3 linked regions of the Rattus norvegicus genome follow. The protein of the gene in region 3 interacts with the protein of the main gene of each other region in a biochemical or structural test. Links are inferred from orthologs where the notes say so. Each region holds a gene or a part of one and is shown on either strand. Other genes may lie near its edges.

Evidence for each region. The genes of interacting proteins can lie anywhere in the genome.
Region 1: of the proteins of Cdh1 (region 3) and Ccnb1, one has a biochemical effect on the other in vitro, tested with the Homo sapiens proteins (3 studies listed by BioGRID). The link is inferred for Rattus norvegicus from reciprocal best matches to the Homo sapiens genes CDH1 and CCNB1.
Region 2: the proteins of Cdh1 (region 3) and Ctnnd1 form a complex in vitro, tested with the Homo sapiens proteins (5 studies listed by BioGRID and IntAct, with this or other methods). The link is inferred for Rattus norvegicus from reciprocal best matches to the Homo sapiens genes CDH1 and CTNND1.

The regions. Positions count from the first base shown.
Region 1 is NC_086020.1:33,651,072-33,657,255, forward strand, and holds the start of Ccnb1 (G2/mitotic-specific cyclin-B1), read right to left. Parts: upstream 4,155-6,184; 5' UTR 4,054-4,154; coding exon 4,033-4,053; intron 3,550-4,032; coding exon 3,388-3,549; intron 3,294-3,387; coding exon 3,144-3,293; intron 811-3,143; coding exon 628-810; intron 1-627. UniProt on the Homo sapiens protein: Essential for the control of the cell cycle at the G2/M (mitosis) transition.
Region 2 is NC_086021.1:90,137,036-90,142,996, forward strand, and holds the start of Ctnnd1 (catenin delta-1), read right to left. Parts: upstream 4,155-5,961; 5' UTR 3,876-4,154; intron 1-3,875. UniProt on the Homo sapiens protein: Key regulator of cell-cell adhesion that associates with and regulates the cell adhesion properties of both C-, E- and N-cadherins, being critical for their surface stability.
Region 3 is NC_086037.1:51,399,774-51,405,939, reverse strand, and holds the start of Cdh1 (cadherin-1 precursor), read right to left. Parts: upstream 3,763-6,166; 5' UTR 3,637-3,762; coding exon 3,589-3,636; intron 3,286-3,588; exon of another isoform or gene 3,178-3,285; intron 2,838-3,177; coding exon 2,711-2,837; intron 1-2,710.

The DNA of each region.
Region 1 (6,184 bases), on a different chromosome or scaffold from region 3:
CTTGTTTAAAAGATAAAAGGGCAAGTCCCATTGATAGAAAGTTTTCCAAGTAGGTGGAGGTGATGGGACCAACAACTTCCACCTTGGATAGAGAATCGAGCGCACACTGATACAAAATGCCTTGTGTGGGACAGCGAGTGTCTGTTAGCACCATCCAACCCGTTCTCGAACCACACACATGTAGGACTTCCCCCTCTCTATGGTATGTCTATTTTAGGAAGGTATCTCCCAACACTGACATTTTATATTCAAAGTGGCAAGTCCACTTCACGGGGTTAGTGACTTTATTTTTAGTGTTTCAAAACTAACAACAGTGCTCTGAGTGTAACAAATAGTATTCATTGTCAAAAATTGTCAGGTGCGCTGTTAGTAAAAATTTCTTTGACAGCTGAATTGAATGTCACAGAACTTTAATCCCAGCACCAGTGAGGCAGAAGGATCTCTGTGAGTTCCAGGCTAGCCTTTAAATTAGTTAGTAAATAACATAAAGGGATAAACCAGGTATAGTGCAGCATCTCCCTTTAATTCCAGCACCAGGAATACTGATCCAGGAGGATCTTAAATAGCAAGAGTAAGGGCTTAGGGTAGCTGCAGTTAGTAAAGGCAGACGCTAATGACAATACTGACCTCCAGTTGTCTGAGGTAAGCATAGATATCTTTCACATATTCACTACAGAGGTTTGGATCACCACCATCGTCTGCATCTACATCACTCACTGCAAGAATCACATCGGAGAAAGCCTGACACAGATATTCTTCGGCAGGTGCACATCCAGATGTTTCCATTGGGCTTGGAGAGGGAGTATCAACCTTGAAGAAAAGAGACTTCATGAAACATGCTACATCATGGGAGCGTAAAGTCATCATCCCCAATTCAGTAAGTCATTCTAAATAAATGTAATTCATTTTATTAAACGAAAGGTATTTCAGATTCTTTCCCCCAATTTCTTTTTGGGAAATGATTCATACTGGGCTGGAGTGATGGTTTTAGCTATAAAGAACATTTGCTGCTTTTGCCAAGGGCTGGTTTTCTATTAAAAAACCAGGTGACTCAACCTTAGTTCCAGGATATCTGACGACCTCTTCAGATCTCCCTGGGCCCTGCACTCATTGCAAACTGATATCTCACTCATGAAGAAAAAAACAAACCATAGAACAAAACAAAACAAAACAAAACAAACAAACAAAAAATGGCAGGCTGGAGAGATGCCTCAGAGGTTAAGAGCACTGATTGCTCTTCCAGAGGTCCTGAGTTCAATTCCCAGCAACCACATGGTGGCTCACAACCGTCTGTAACGGGATTCAATGTCCTCTTCTGGTGTGTTTGAAGACAGCTGCAGTGTACTCACATACATAAATCTTTAAAAAAAACAAACAATTCTAACAATCAGAAAACAGTTCTAACAATCAGAGCCAGGCATGGTTAATATAAGCTTTGATCCCAGCACCTGGAAGGCAGGTCTCTGAGTTGAAGCCAGCCTGGTCTCCATAGCAAACTGCAAGCCAGCAAGATCTGGTCTCATAAAAAAATAAGCCCCAATTTAGATTCAGGTAGTTTAAAGTACGAAGAAGTGGGCTGGCAAGACGGGTAAAGGTACCTGTTGCTAAGCCTAACAACTGAGTTCAACCCCCAGGAGATCCACATGGTGGAAGAACTGACTCAAAAGCTGTCTTCTAAGGGGTTGGGGATTTAGCTCAGTGGTAGAGTGCTTGCCTAGGAAGCGCAAGGCCCTGGGTTCGGTCCCCAGCTCCGAAGGGGGAAAAAAAAAAAGCTGTCTCTGACTTCTCTGTGTATTCTCACACAAAATACAAGAGAGCATGGGAGCTGGAGAACTGTCTCAGCAGTTAAAGAGCCCTTGATACTCCATGAGGACCAGAATTCAGATCCTAGCATCCACACTGGGTGGCTCACAAATGCTTGTTACTCCAGCTCCAAAGGAGTCTCTCTTCAGATACATACGATTGGGCACACACAGGACTCTATAGATACTAACATGTAAGGCAAGTCAAAGGAAACGAGCAGGTAAGTGATAATAAAGCCATTTATTCATCAGCATCATGTGAGGTCAATTCAAAAGAATGCCAAGCCTTCAATTATCAATTAATCAATTATTCAGGTGAATACAAGTTCTTGATTACAAACCCAGAGAGCCCTAGCTAGCCTTGAGCATTCAACCCTCCTGCCTTAGAGGAAGTACTAAAATCACAAACATGCACCATCACACCTAGTAGTAAAATCTGGCGGTGTGTGTGTGTGGTTTTAGTACTCAAGGACTGAACCCAGAGCATCCCTATGCTAAACACAATCTAACAGGCTACGAACTCAGGTAAACTTCCATTTGGGGCTTAAATGTTAACCCATCAACATTAATCCATCATCTTTTTTTTTTTTAAAGATTTATTTATTTATTATATATAAGTACACTGTAGCTGTCTTCAGACACACCAGAAGAGGGCATCAGATCCCATTACAGATGGTTGTGAGCCACCATGTGGTTGCTGGGATTTGAACTCAGGACCTTTGGAAGAGCAGTCAGTGCTCTTAACCTCTGAGCCATCTCTCCAGCCCTATTTTTTTTTTTTAAACGGTTTCACTAGATGCAGCTCTGTCTGGACTGGATCTTACTATATACACAGCCCGCCTTGAACTTAGAGGCCCACCTGCCTCTAGGCCAGAATGCTGGGATTGGAAGATGTGTTACCAAGGACCCTATTTAATTAATCTTATTTCTGTCTGAGATTTTTTTTTCCTTTTAAAGAAACCAATTAAAAGATCTAGCCTGAATATATCACCCCAGCATTGGAGAGGTGGGAATCTCAAACTCAAGGACAGCGGAAGCTATACAGTTACACAAAAAAGAAAATGATTATGCCACCTCTGGATCCCAGGCCTCGAGGGGCAGGCAAACCTCTATGTTCCAGGCCAGCCAGGAGCACACAGTGAGACTGTCTACATAAAACAAGAGCCCTACCATATTTATCTGCCACCATCTGAAGCAGAGTGCTAATACTTACCCTAGAGCTGTTAGTGCACGTAAAATGCACTAACCACTCAATAAACAATATATTTAAATGCCGTCGTGTGCATCAACATGAAATGAAGTCAGAGAGGAGGAATACACTTTTTAAAATGCTAAGTTTACCAAAATAGGCTCAGGAGAGTGTTTCACTTCCATAACAGGTTCAGGCTCAGGCTCATCCAGTTCCACCTCTGGTTCGCACACTGGCACCTTGTCCACAGGTTTTGGTAGGGCTTTAACAGTAACTGTTCCAGAACCTAACTTTTTTGTTTCCTGTGGATGAAAGTGAAAGAACAGAATGTTTTTCCAACGGTGACACCTAGAAGATGGGCTTTTTCAGGATAACTGGACCAGGAAGATAAGTTACCTTTTTGAGGGGTATTCTTGACTGTTCGCTGACTTTATTACCAATGTCTCCAAGAGCAGTTCTCGATCTCAGCAGGGGTTTGGAGGCAGCAACTGCCACAGGCACACGCTTGGCGCCTGCCATGCTGACCTTGGCCTTATTTTCTGTGTTAATTTTCGTGTTCTGAAAGAAGTAAGAACCACTTGAGAGAGGATCCATGGCGGCTCCAGGAAGTCATGGGTTAATTAAGGCGGGACCCCACTATGGAAAGCAAGGGCTCTAGGATCTATCCTCCAGCCCTGACAAGCAGGTTTCCACCCAAAACGTTCACCTATTATCCAATTTCCCTTTAAGTCCCAAGCAATCCTAAACACGGTGAAATTTACATCGGAAAGGTAATCATGAAAGCCTCCTTGTAGACAGCTCTCTGGGAAGACTCTGGGCAGACAGACTCTGGGAAGATTCACTCTGGGCCTTCATCATTAAAAGCACACCACCCTACTCCCTCTAAGTCCTTCAGCCCAGATATGTCCCGAAGTCTTTTTTCACCCTCCAGGGAGGGTCCTTAGCTCCTCCATTGGCCGGAACCTTCCGGGCATCCCCTTCCCCTCCTGGCCGCCGCGGCCTTCTCCCACAGCGAGGACCGCAGCGCCCGGCCCGACTCACCCTAGTGACCCTGAGCGCCATGGCTCCTCCTGAAGCAGAGGTTCGCCGATCTGAGAAGACACCCTAACCTCTGGCTGCCCACACCTAAACACTAACAGCCGTTCCCCCACAGCACGCCGGGAGGAGTCTGCCGGGCCTGGGTTTAAACCCCGGGCCGCTCCCTCCTCATTGGTCAGTTCATGGCACTCGCTCTCTTCCCATTGGTGCTGCGGGTTCCCGTAGAATGCGTTTCCTGGGCGATCCCGCGATCCCAAGTTCGGCGAGGGGTGGGGCCAGAGCGAGGCTGTAGCTGGCAGCACCGCCCACCCCTCGTGAGGTCAAGCTCTGCGCCTGCGCACTCGCCTCTTTGCTGCCACCTGCTTTAGGTAGGCTTGGCCGGCAATGCCCACTTGTGTGCTGTCCAAGGCAACTCCGTTGGACCTTAGGAAAATGACTGTGGGGCCGCCACGTTTCTGGAGCACGCATAACAGTTTTGCTGTCCTATTTATTGTTTCTCTTTTTAAAAATAGATTTATTTATTTAGTATATATAAGTACACTGTAGCTGTCTTCAGACACACCAGAAGAGGGCATCTGATCCCATTACAGACGGTTATGAATGAGCCACCATGTGGTTGCTGGGATTTGAACAGGATCTCTGGAAGAGCAGTCAGTGCTCTTAACCGCTGAGCCATCTCTCCAGCCCCTACTTACTGTTTCTCATCCTCATCTACAGAAGTGCCAGTACTATCTTAAGAGTTCGCGAAAGCTTTGAAGCAGAGACAGTCTTTAGTATGATTGTTCCGACCGCTGCCTGGGATGGATTTTGAGGTTTATAGCATGAAGTTATAGCCTAAGCAAATAGATTAACATACCAATCGCCCCAATAGCTACTGCCCCAGGGACAAAAGAAAATGTGCCACATGCTTAATTTCGCTCCTGTTTAAGATTACTTCAAAAATACAGTTTTGTAGAATCTATTCTATTTAACAAGAATCCATAATGCAGCACTCCATCCTTCTACCTCAGACACCTTATTAAGGCTAAATAACTTCAGTGAAATCTTTTTCCACATTAAATTTCAGTAACATCAATGAGGATTTATTTATTTGTTGACCAGGATCTCTTGTAGCACAGGTTGTTGGCATTCCTTCTATGCTCTGCCCAACAGTTACCTAGCAACAGCCAGATAGGCCAGTTTGCTATAAAAAAAGAACTGCTTCTCTCCTCCTCTCCTTTCCCTTCCCCTCCCTTCCCCCTTCTCTCTGTCCTCTGTCCCCTCTCTTTCTCTGTCTCTATTCCTTTCTCAACTCCCTTTCCCATGCCCCCAAATAAACTATTCTGTACTAAACCCATCATGGCTGGTATCTGGTGTGAAGGGTATATGCTTCAGCATCGGTCCACTGAGGTATTCCCTCCCACCACACCATACTGTGCTCTGTAAAACATATCCTTGGTTTTATAAAATACATCACAGGTCGAAGTCCCTATGTAGCTGAGAATGACCTTAAATCTCCTGTTCTCCCTCCTCTACCTCCTCAGTGTTGAGAGTACAGCATACAACTTTACACTGGATTTATGTCACACTCATGATTGAAGCGAGGATTTCAAGCATGGCGGACAAACACTACCAATGGAGAGGTATCCCTAGCCCTCTAGTAATCATTGCTATGCAAATTAATATATTTAGTAAGCAAATACTATATCCCAGGATTGCCTCCTTATCCCCCAACGTGTGTGTGTGTGTGTGTGTGTGTGTGTGAACCTGGTTTGTTTTATTTAAGACAAGCACTTCTCACACTTGCTTGAAGCACTGTGCTCCAGGTTTCCCAGCGTTTGTGAGCTTGTCACCTATGCTGGGGTGGGCCTAGGTGACGCAGTTGTCTTCGAGTCATTTCTGCTTCCGCGAGAAACTATAATAAAACTCTTTGGTTCACCAAGTTGGACTTTGGTGGTATCCATACTTTGGTCTGTCTTGAGCTCCCTATCTGGGGTGAGTGGATGTGTGTTTAGTCACGTAACAGGTGTGATGCAAAATGATGCTCACGAACTCACTGCAGTTACAGGTACCTGTACAAAACCATCTGATTGGGCTTATCGGTATTTCATCACGGGGCTCATGAAGCCCCATCCTCCCTCCCTCGAGGGACCACTGAGGGTCTGAGGTAGGATAA
Region 2 (5,961 bases), on a different chromosome or scaffold from region 3:
TTAAAAGAAGCTAAGAAGAAGGGACCACAAATTCAAGGTGATACTCAGTTACATGAGACTCCACCCCAAAGAAATGATTAGGGTTGGTGAAATGTCTCAAGAATAAAAGAACTTGACATCAAGCAAGCATAAGGACTTGAGTTCTATCCTCAGAACCAACGCCATGGAAAGAGAACAGATTCTCTCCCATGGCCTAATTGTCCTGACTTCCACACACCTGGTCTCAGCAGGAGCAGGTGCCCGCCCTTCCCCACCCCACAATGAAATACATGTAAACAGAAAAATAGAAAGAAATAAATAAAAAATCCAAACTACAGGTAACAGTGAAAGTGTCAAAATTACACAGGAATGTAACTAATTCATGGTGTACTGATTCCTGTCTCCATTTAAGCCTTCTCAGGCCCCACTAATTCCCATCAAGTACTGTAATTAAACAAGGCTTACTGAGCACCTCAGTTTGTAGCAGACACTACAATGGGTAATGAAGGAATAAGATAGTACCAACACCGAGCAGCTCCCAGTCTGCAGTGAAAGATATGATAATTTTATGATACATTTATTACACACAACTACCTCCTACAAGCTTCTCATTCAACCCAAAGAACTGAAAACTGTCTAGAAGACAAATAACAAGCAAACAAAGGTTGAAACATATCCCAGAAGTTAACAAGACATGGTCGTGCATGTCATTAGTCCCAGCACTTGGGAGGCAGAGGCAGGTGAGTTTCAGTTCTGTGAGTTCAAGGCCAGCCTAGTCTACAGAGTTGAACCCTGTCTCAAAATAAACAAACAAATAAGAAAGCAGGACTGCTGATGAGCTCAATGGCAGACACCTGCCTCACCTGTGTGAGACCCCAAGTTCAATGCCCAGCACTGCAAAAGGGGGAAAAAAAGAGACTAATGGGACAGCAGTCGTGTGTATTTATGATCCCTGCTTTTAGGACTAAGACATCATCTATGCCAGCATACTCAGCTCTCACTGGCTCTAAGGAAACTAGCCTTTTACATATACTATCCGAACTTGGTCCCTATAAGGAACAACTAAAACAGTCCTGCCCAGAGCCAGGCTTCATTTATTTTAGTCCCAGCTGTTATGTCCATTCTCTTTGGGTAATAGCAATGTAACCCTGGTTAAATTCATCGACTCTGTAGTCAATCAGACCAGGGTCAATCTCGACCTCCACCGTTTAAAGAATGAGTTGTTCAGCAAACCCCAGCTTCATTATCTCAAATTCATTTCTAAAAAAAAATGGTTAGAAATTAGGTAGTCTACAAAAAATGCTTAGTACACTGTAAAATAAGACAATGACAGGGAGGGGACGGGACGGGAAGACCCAGAAGGTACTAACAGAGGGCCGTCACCTACCACAATAGAAAGCAATAAATTATACTGAGCTAAATATTTTGCTATTGCAACTGATAGTGATCTAAGCTGAATTTATCAGCCTGCATCCAGTCTCATCTACCCCTAAGGAACAATTATTTGATAAACCTACGGCTGGCATGTGATTACAGGAAGCGTCCGTCTCCTTTCTAAGGTCTCAAAGAGTCCCAATTTTAGACCAGCTGAGACCATGTTGACCCCCCTGGCTGTACATACTCGACTCCTAGGAAAGGCACTAGAACTCTAATCAACCACACACACCTGAAACACAGACCCCACTACCTTACTCACATAACAAAGAAACTAACTGAATTCCATATAAAGCAAACAAGGAAAGAAAACCTGTACATTTCATACTCATCTATCATCATTTTCACCGCAAACCCCAAATAAGAAGCACAGAAAATAAGTAGCAAAATAAAAGATTTACTTATCTGTACCCTTTCAATTCCTGGAAGAACCAGGGAAGGTGAAGTAAAAGACAAAAATCTTCCATCTTACCACCTCAAAAGGCTCTGTACTATAGGCAGGCCAAACAATGCCTTAGTTTGTAAATTGTCCTGGACCCTAATGCTGCACAACACCGCTACACAAAGCCCAGTTTCAAAGCCGGACCCAGATCACCAGCAGTCATCCAGAACCTATTTTCAAACTGCCTTTGTACTCCTCCTTCAGACTCTCATCCCTCCCCCTAAAGGCTGAGTGAGAAACCGACACTCTGGCAGCAACAGACCGACCCTCCAAAGACACACTAAGAAATCTCCTTGGAAAAACATTTCAAAGGAAAATTGAAAAATTGGAAATCAGAACCATAGCCCAACAGACTGTACATAGTGACTTTTTCTTTCTTTTCAATTGCCTATTTTAATCCTGAGGTCCACACGTCCAATGTTTTTCTGTAATCCTTGCCTAAATTATATGGAAAGGAAAAGAGGAACAAAACTTGTTTCCTCCAGAAGCCACAACCGCACAATGACAAAACCATCCTGCAAGGAATGTCTTCCCTGTAGAAAAATATTCAAGGAAATGTTCTAGACTAAAAAGAATGGGGGCAGGGACTATGAAATCAGAAGATTAAAGATTCCTATCAGTTTAAAGGTAATGAGGAGCTTATACTTTAAGACCCATCTTGCTACAATTAGAGCAGTATCTATTCCAGCTCTAATTTCCATTCTGATTCCCATTTTAAAAGAAGAAAGTACCTGTGTTCCAGCTACTGATGAGTTGGCTATATAATTACCTAGGATCTGGACATTTCCAAGATGTACATACACAAAGCAAACCAAGCAACTCTTAAGGTCAAGTATAAAACATGAGGCAGTCACAGGCCTTTAGCTTTAACAGTGTTCTAATAAGTTAACTGAGCAAGCAAACAAAGACACCTCTAAAAGCATCTTTCCAGTGGCTTAAAAATAAAATTCCCTTTGTAAGGCGTTCTCAAATGTGTTTTGCAAACTCTAAGTTTTCATTAAGTGGTTTCTCTTCACCTGTCTATTCACAACCTACAAATCTTTCAGAGACCAAAGGGCTGGAAAAGACTTTCAGGTGTTCTGTGGTTTCACTCCGGTCAAGAGAAAGCATGATTAGAATTTCCTTATCCCTTTAAGGGCCAAACATTAGCATATCTGCAAGTTTAACATACACCTTCACAAATCTGTGGCATTAAAAGGACTTTTAGGACAAGAAAGAAAAGGGGGGAGAGAGAGAGAGAGAGAGAGAGAGAGAGAGAGAGAGAGAGAGAGAGAGAGAGAGAGAGAGAGAGAGAAAGAGAGGGAGGAAAAAAAGTAGTGGCAATTCAGTTAACAGTTAACATAGACCCATTTGTTTTCACAAGGCAAAGCAAAGAGTCTCCTAGGCAGGCGACAGCAGCTCCCACCCACCACCACACCTGGAAAAGTGAAAGAGGGATCCACCCAGGAACTGCAGAGTTGAAACCCTTCTGGGCCGTTCACGTTCAGAAGGAAAAAACAATACCATTGAAATTCGAAAGCTTCCTGCAACTTTCCACTGCCACAAATACAAAGGTGAGGGGGCTAAAAGTTCCGAAACATGGTAGGAGCCATCTGTACGACTAGCCTCCGACCAGGACAAATTCCTTTCCCAACCCACACACAACATGCCAAAAAAACAACTTTTTGAGCTCTGAATAAAAGAGTATGTTAGCTAAATCCAGAAAAAAATATAAAAGTACACACAAAAATGTAATTTACACAACTTCTATCCCTGGTTCTAACCAGCTTCCGGTATTAGACCTAGAAGTTTGTTTCTAGGTCTTGTACGTTTTACCTTTTCCTTAAATACCAAGAAACCTCCAAAGTATTAAAAGTAGAAAAAATAATTGATTAAAACTCACCGTCAGCATTAACAGGCTTCCTCGACCTTTTAAAAGTCCCTCCAGTTACCATCAAGAAAAAGATTCCACTTGCGTTATCCCTTTCCCAACTAGTTAAATACATATTTTAATAAAAGGAAAAAATTTAAAAGCACACACCTCAAATGTGGACTTCTAAAGCCAGTCCTTTTAAGAAACAAACCCAAAGCTTCACCAATGTGCTGAGAAAGACGAATCCAGCGAGGTTCGCCGCCTCTTCCTCTTCCTCGTTCCACGATCTTTCTGCCTTTCTCCTCTCCCTTCGTGTCTGTCGGCCTCTCTCGCTCTCTCGCTCTCTCTCCCTCCCTCTTGCTCGCCCTCGTTCTCTCTCTCCCTTTCCCTCTCTCTTTTTCCCCTCAGATCCAACACCTAAAATGGAAGTTGCACCCAGCCAAAGGCAAGGGAGCCTGGGTGGTGACAAACTGATCTGGCAGCCCTACCCTAGCTTTCCTAAGTGATGTCAGCCCCTGCGAGCTTCCAATAGGAACCAGGCATAAATCAGGGAGCTGACCTTATCCAATAGGAAACTTTATTATAGGAAATTAAAAAAAAAAAAGGCGAGAGAAAGACGAGGAAGTTTTATATATATATATTATATATATTTAAAGCGGAGACTATACAATCTCTGAGGAATTACTGCAGAGCTGGGGGGAGGGAGGGAGGTGCTAAATAACAAAGCTTTTTAGAACGGCACGCCTAAGCCTCAGTTCTCTTTGAGGAGGGTCTTGTTCCCTTTTCCTACCTATCTGGGTGGGAAAACAGAAAAGAGCTTACTTTACCTGCTGCGATTTGGTTTGCTGTTTTCTTTCTTTAAGCATTTCCCCAAAGGAAGCTAGGAAAGAAGGAGGGAGAAATCCCAGAAACAGGACTATGTGTTGACTGAGATGGTAGAAAATATCTAAGACAAACCCTCAATTTCATTGTTTTGATTTGATTGAATTAAAAGCTAATGAGGAAAATAAATGCTTAGACTTGTTAATACTTTGTTAGCCTCTCTGCTCTAAATTAAAAGAAAGCAGGATCCACTAAGCTGTTGAAGAACAGCACTATCTTCCCATCAAAACAATATGGGTCTGCCTGGGACAATAGGCAGAATCCAATAAACAAAGAGTTCAGAATAGTTAAGGATACCGTTAAAATAACTAAAAGAGTGCTATTTTTTAATCAACTCAAAATCACCTGGCTTTTTTTATTTGACCTAAATATTATAGGGGTTTTCCTCTGAATTCCTTTAAAATTTAGGAGGGGAAGGGGGTGTGTTTGTTGTTGGATTTTGTTTTTTCTCGGGTGGGGAGGTTGCTTTACTTTAAAGACAGGATCTCACACTACCCCAGGCTGGCCTCAAACTCAAAAGCCTTGCGCTTTTGACTTCTGAGTGATAGGGTTGAAGTTATATTACCACCCTGTAAAACTGGTATCAGTTATTTACTAATTACTAAATGAAGATGATGAATTGGAAGGTTTCTCCTTATGTATTTTAATTAGATTTATTTATGTGTGCATAGGTACACATGTACCACAGAAGTCATATTCAGGTCAGAGAACAATTTTCAGGAATCAGTTCTTTCCTTCCTCCATGTGTGTCCAGGGATTAAATTTTGCTCATTATTTTGGTGGTAAGTACCTTTACCTACTTCTAGTCCTATTTTTAAAATTATTTTTATTTTATTTTTTGAGACAGAGTCTCATTATGTATCCCTGACTGGCCTAGAACTCTAGATATCTAGACGAGGTAAGCTGGCTTTGAGCTCACAGAAATTCCCCTGTGTCTGCCCCCTGAGTGCTGGGACAATAGGTATGTGTTCCTATTGGCTACTGCAAAATGTATCTGCATAAAGCTTTCATAATCTATAATGGTGATATATTGGCTAAGAAGAGAGACTGCAGTCAAACTGCTGGCTTCCAGCTATACCTCTACAAGGACACTAGTTCAGATGTTTGCACCATTATAAGACCTTGGCCAAATTATATAGTCTCTGAACCTCAGTTTCCTTAACTAGAAAACGAAAATAACTCTTTCTCACTGGAGACACGCCTCAGTGGATAAATGCTCGCTTGCTGCTCAACCATGAGGACCTGGTTCAGATGACAGCACCAATGTAAAAAGCCAGACATGACTATACACATGTTTATGGATAGGAGGTAGGGATCCATGAGGGTCACTGCAGTTTGCTAGTTAACAGCCCAGATCCAGACTTAAAGTAAG
Region 3 (6,166 bases):
AAGAGTGTCTCCACCTTCCTAAACGAAGGCAATTCTTTTACACAAAGCAGTTTCTGGGGGTACAATGTGTGATTTCTGGAAAGATACCTCTGATCTAGAGCAATTCCACATTCCACTGGTGCGATTAGACCCCTGGAGAGTAGTGGTGGAGCCTCAGACTTAAGGGGAACTGGAACCAGCCCGGGGAAGCTTGGAAGCTTGTGGGCTGCTGTGTGGAAGCTGCTTCTCCCACCTAAACCACCGGTGGTGGCGGGGCTCTCTACCTCCCACTGAGCATGCTCTCAGCGGGGAGGCTCTTTAACTCCCACAGGGCAAGCTCTATCTCCATCAGAGCCAGCCACTCTCAGCTCCCCCTACCTCAAGACCTCTGTCCTCAATTTTCACAATGGACTGTGTTTTCCCCGAAAACGCACACACATATCCCGCGCCCCCTCCCTCCTCTCCCATCTCTCTCCTTCCTTCTTCTTTTTCTTTCTTGTTCTTTTAGGAAAGGTCTCATCTCACTCGGTAGTCAAGGTAAATCACTACATAGACCAGGCTGACCTCAAACGTCCAGCTTTTAGCAAGCCTCTGGCCTCAGAGCTTCCCCCCCTCCCCCAAGAGCTGGTCACAGGTGTGAACCACCAGGGAGGCAGCTCACACACTTCACTTCCGGAATGCTGGTCACAGGTGTGAACCACCACACCAAGCAGCAGCACACATTTTCACTTATTTTTGTCTTCTCTTCGGGAGAAAAGGAAACCAAGAAGAGGAGGACCTGCAGTAGATGCTTCAGGCAATACAGAAGCCAGTCAGGCTCGTGAGTTCCTTGAGGACTGGAATGGTGTCCACCCTCCAGACATTCTCATTTTTACTTTAGGTAAATGACTCACTCGCCTCACGGGACCAAAGTGAACAGGTGGTACTATCAGTTTTAAGTGATCTTGTCACCGATAACCAGTGGTGTTAGTGACTATTCACTAGCCCTTAGAGGTGCAAAATAAAAACCAGGTTAGTGCCAAAGTGAGCATGTAATCCCAGCACAGTCTGAGGCAGGAGAATCACATAGGGAGATCCTGTCTCAACAAACAAACAAACAAACAAACAAAAAACCCGACCAACACACAGGTGGTAAAGTTCCTGGCTAACCTGTAACAGGCCATTACAGGTCTCATCCTCAGCGCTGCTGACATAGGCGGTCCTAACTGAGGCACTGCATTGGGATCCCTGATATATAAGCGCTCCCATGTCTAAGCCTGCTCTGCTCCACACTGAGTGACATCTACTTATTCTCAGACACTCACTGCCACCCTCGGAAACATCCTAGGCCACTCATCCCTCACCAGTCCATCCCAAAGTGCCACTGAAGGGCATCCTGAAATGCTCTCAGCAACCTACCAGAGGCTCAAATTATTCCTTGGGCAGGAATCAAGTGGAGACTGGCTGAAGGATCCCTAACCACTCCAACCTCAGGCCCACGGGGCTGCAGCCTTTCTGGACCCTTAGAAAGTTCCACCAATGGGTTGGAGAGATGGCTCAGTGGTGAGAAGCACTGGCTGCTCTTCCAGAGGTCCTGAGTTCAATTCCCAGCAACCACATGGTGGCTCACGACCATCTGTAATGAGATCTAACGCCCTCTTCTGGTGTGTCTGAAGGCAGCTACAGTGTACTCACATACATGAAATAAATAAATAAATCTTAAAAAAAAAAAAAAAGTTCCACCAAACCAGTCAGGTCTCAGAAAAGCAAGTAAGACTAGCCAATCCCAACGGAGCTGCTGTTTCTCTGTAAAATGCACCACCAAACCTGGACCCAACTCGCAAGGCTCACAACAAAGTTTTAGGCGCCATCACGGTTGCTGTAGATTGTTCAGGTGGCTTATGGCTGGAAGAACAAACGTGGTCAAAGTATTCCCAGAAAGGGATTGGGTGAGTTCTCCTTCTAAAATTATTCCCTTTTGTTTATCATACTTTTGGGATCAACTAAACTCCTCATGAGAGAAGCCATTTTGGTGCCAAAGAAGCATTTGGAAATTAGGGAAACCAGTTAAAAAACAAACAACAACAACAAAACACCTGGTCCTCTTGCCTTGCTCCCAGCCATGCCCAACAGTTAAAGAAAATTCTAGATTATCACAGTAAGACCTGAATATATATTGAGTCCTTGAATATATGAACCAGAGCTACCTTTTTTCTTAAAGAAAGTAAAAAATAAATAAATAAATAAATAAAGTATTCCTTGGAAAAGCAATACCTGTATCAAGTATTTTTATCTTTATGAACAAAAACCACAAGTCATGTTCATGAGTTATGAGTCAGTTCCTCAGTGGCCATACCTAAATAGTGGGAGTCAAATCCCGGTTCAAATGCCTGCCCTGTTGACCCCGTGAAGTCACTCTTTGAGCCTCCAATTGCTCATCATTAAATGGATATACAGTTCAACTGGCCCTACCCAGCAGGTTTGGCGGTCTGGAATGACAGACTGGCTCCAGTAATCGGTTGGAGAAATACCGATGACCTCTAAATACCCTTGGCCCGTTTCTGCCCTGTATAAATAGCAGAGACAGACATATCTGCCTTGATCAACCACAATCAATAAATAGACTCCCAAATCTGCCTAAATCCCAAGGGAGAGTTCTGCCCATTCCATCCTACCGACAAAGTAGCACAATTTCTTGGCGCCTTCCCTATCCGACCCCACTCGGCCGATTAACGCAGTGGAGTTCCCTTACCTCTGCCCAGGATGTGGCCTCTCTCCAGGTGCCTCTCCGGCACCAGGAAGGTGTAGACCTCGGAACTGAAGCCGGGACGGCAGGAGTCAGACTCCGACTCCGGCTGCTGACAAAGCCACGAGGAGACCTGGGGTGGCGAGAAGGTAGACAAACTGGTGACTTGAGGGGGTTCCCAACAGCCCACACCGAAACCAAGAGTAACCCTTCCCTCGCCTGGGCGGTCGGGATTTGTGGGAGGACCCCCTCGGGGCAGACCGGGACGCAACCCTCTCAACCCGAAACCAGCCTCCAAGCTCAGCTCCAAGAGCCTTTGGGGGAGGGGGCATCTGGGGCCACCACCTGGCAACCGGGTCTACCTTTCTCTCCTAGCTCCATTTGCATCTCACTGGAGACGCCTTTACTCTTTCCGGACACCACTTTCTTAGACCGCGAACGGTCTCAACCAACGCCTCGGACTTCCCTCTTACCTTAGAGAGCCCATCTCCAATCTACGGTCCCTCCCTCACATGGCAGGTGCTTTTTGTGGTACTAAAATCCCTTTCCTTATCTCGGGTCGTCCGCGCTCCTTCTGTCCCCCACCTTCTACAGGCAGGCCCCCATCCTAATACACGCCTCCTCCGTCCGTCTCAAACAGGGACCCTGCTCAACTCGGGGTCCCGGGAGACGGCAGCGTGGCGCGCCCCCACCTGGGAACCTAAGCGAGAGGCGGCCCCTCTGCGCTCTCCTGGACCTCCCTCCCTGCACAGCGTAGCCTCCAGGGCGATCTGGCCCTCTGGAGCCCAACTTTCTTGGAAGAAGGGAAGTGGAACCACAGAAGGCAAAAAAAAAAAAAAAAAAAAAGCGAAAAAGCGAAGCGGGTCGTGGGACCCTCCACATACCTGCAGCAGGAGCAGGAGCGCGGAGAAGCTGCGGCACCGGGCTCCCATGGCTGGCCGGGCAAACGCCGAGCAAACACTGAGCTCGGGTGCGGTCGGGCAGGGCCGGGTTAGGCCGGGCTGAAGTCTAGCAGAAGTTCTTGAGAACTCAGTAGTGCGCCGCGGCTCCCACACCAGTGAGCCAAGCAGAGGCTGCGGCCGCCAGGTGAGCCCGCAGGCACCGCCCCCGGCGCCGCTGATTGGCTGGGGACGCACCTGCAGGTGGCAACCAAGGAGCCCGCACTGCCCTCAACTTCCTCCACCCGTCTGTAAATTGGTGACATGGGCCGGGCTTAGGAGACTTCCTTGCTTCCTTATTCCTCGGTCGCTCGAATCCTAGCCTAGCTGTGCTCTGGCCCACTGAGACTTGCAGTTACAAAAGACTTTACTCTTCATCTAGGTTTCTGTTTTGTTTGTATTTATTTTGTTTGGTTAGATGAGTTTGTTTGGTTTGATTTACATTGTCTTAAGGATTTTAAATGACATTTTAACGTGTGTGTGTGTGTGTGTGTGTGTGTGTGTGTGTGTGTGTGTGTGTGTGTCGCGCGAGGGGAGGCATATACTCGCAAACGCTTGTGCCACAGATGCCGTTTTCGCCTTTACTGACTGAGCTATCTCTCCGGCGGTTTTCTTTGGTAGCCTTTTTTGTTTGTTTTCCAGCCCAAGTAGCCTCAGCCATCCTCTTGTTTCAGCCTCTCAAATGCTAGGATTTGGGGCACCAGACCAGACTAATCATCTAATTTTCTAACACCTGTCCCCCTCCCTTTTGAGATACAGTCTTGCTATGTAGTCCAGTGTGGCTTTGAACTCACTATTGTCTCAGTCTCCTCACTTCTGGGATGGAGCTACAGGGACCCACTACCCGGTAGCTCCACTAAAATCTGTTCTCTTAACTTCAGTTCTCAGGAGGTTAGTGAGCCAGGGAGGAAGCCAATGGATTAGCATCCCCTGGAATAGGAATTACAGGCAATTTCAGTGCTCAGCGTGGGAACTGAACTCTGAACCCCTGGAAGAAGAGCAAGTCATCTTAACTCCCAAGCCACCTCCCTGGCCCCTTGTTTGTCTGGTTATTGTTTGTTTGTTTGTTTGTTTGTTTGAGGTCTCTCTCAGAACTCACTATGTAGACCAGTCTGGCCTCGAACTCGCAGAGCTCCAACTACTGCTACCTCCCAAGAGCTAACTAACATTAAAGGCATGTGCCACTACGACTTTGTGTGTATTTGTTTTCTGAGACAAGTTCTTCCTAAGCAGCCCAGACTGGCTTTAACCTTAGGATCCTCTCGCATCAGCATCCTAAATGTCGGGAGTATGATATGTACCACCACGCCCGTCAGGTTTTTTGTTTCGTTATTTTTATTTTACATTTTTTATTTTTAAAGTTTTATTTACATTGGTGTTCCCCCCCTCCATGTATGTCTATGTGAGGGTATCAGATCTCCTAGAACTGGAATTACAGACAGCTATAAGCTATCATGTGGGTTCTAGGATTTGAACCTGGTTCCTTTAGAAGGGCAGCCAGTGCTCTCAAACAGAGTCATCTCTCCAGCCCTCTCCAGTCAGTTTTGTTTTGTTTTTCATGCTGAGCTGGAAGAGATGCTTTAGTAGTCTCTCAAATCTGTTATTTACCTTCAACTTGATATCATGTAGCAAGTCAATGCTAAAGCAAAGACCAGAACTCAAGCTCTCCTGCCCCAGAGACAGAGACTTTTAATGCCATAGCCATAGCACAGCCATCAGCACCTTCATCAGAGAATCCTGTCCCCGGTACATAATTTTAGGATCAAAAAGAAAATAGACAAACGTTAGATCAGTTTCCCTGTCTGCCTATGGCCTGCCGTGTCTGTGTTGCTTGGCTACATGAAAACAAAGGCACCTCTCACTCCTGTTGGCCTAGCCTTGGCAAAACAGAGATTGGGGATGTGGCTCAGTTTGTCAAGTGCATGCATGAGGCCCTGGGTACCATCCTCAGCACTGTATAAACCAGTCATGGTGGTGCCTCTGTGTAATAGGCACATAGGGGTTACACATGGGCAGGAAGATCATAACTTCAAAGCCATCCTTCTCAGCTATGTACTGGATTTGAGCCCCGTGAATCTCAACAAGCAACCCAAAACTACAAAATAATATTCTTGCCAGTCACTAGCTGTGCAACCTTGGGCAAGTCCTCATCTGTGCTAACGCCGAAGCAATGACTGAAGTGTGGAGGTTGTGCCTTTGAAAGGTCCAGCCCAATCTGACCATGAGTATTTCCCACCGTGCTAACGGTGAACCTGAGTCCACAGAGAGCACAGCCTCATCCACAGAGGTGCTGTCTCTAACCCACACAACCCCCACTGATTCCACCAGCTCTCCCTGCAGGCTGACCCCTCCATTTCAATGGCTTTCCAAGCACACACAGAGCAGCCTTTTGGATTTCTGCTTCTTGGCTCCCTCTGCTTCTTAGCCCACCAGGCGGCTCTGAGGGAGAAGGCTCTGGTATTTCCTTTCCCACTGAAGCTCCTGCCCAGATCATGCCCCGAACAAGATAATGGAAAAAAAAAAG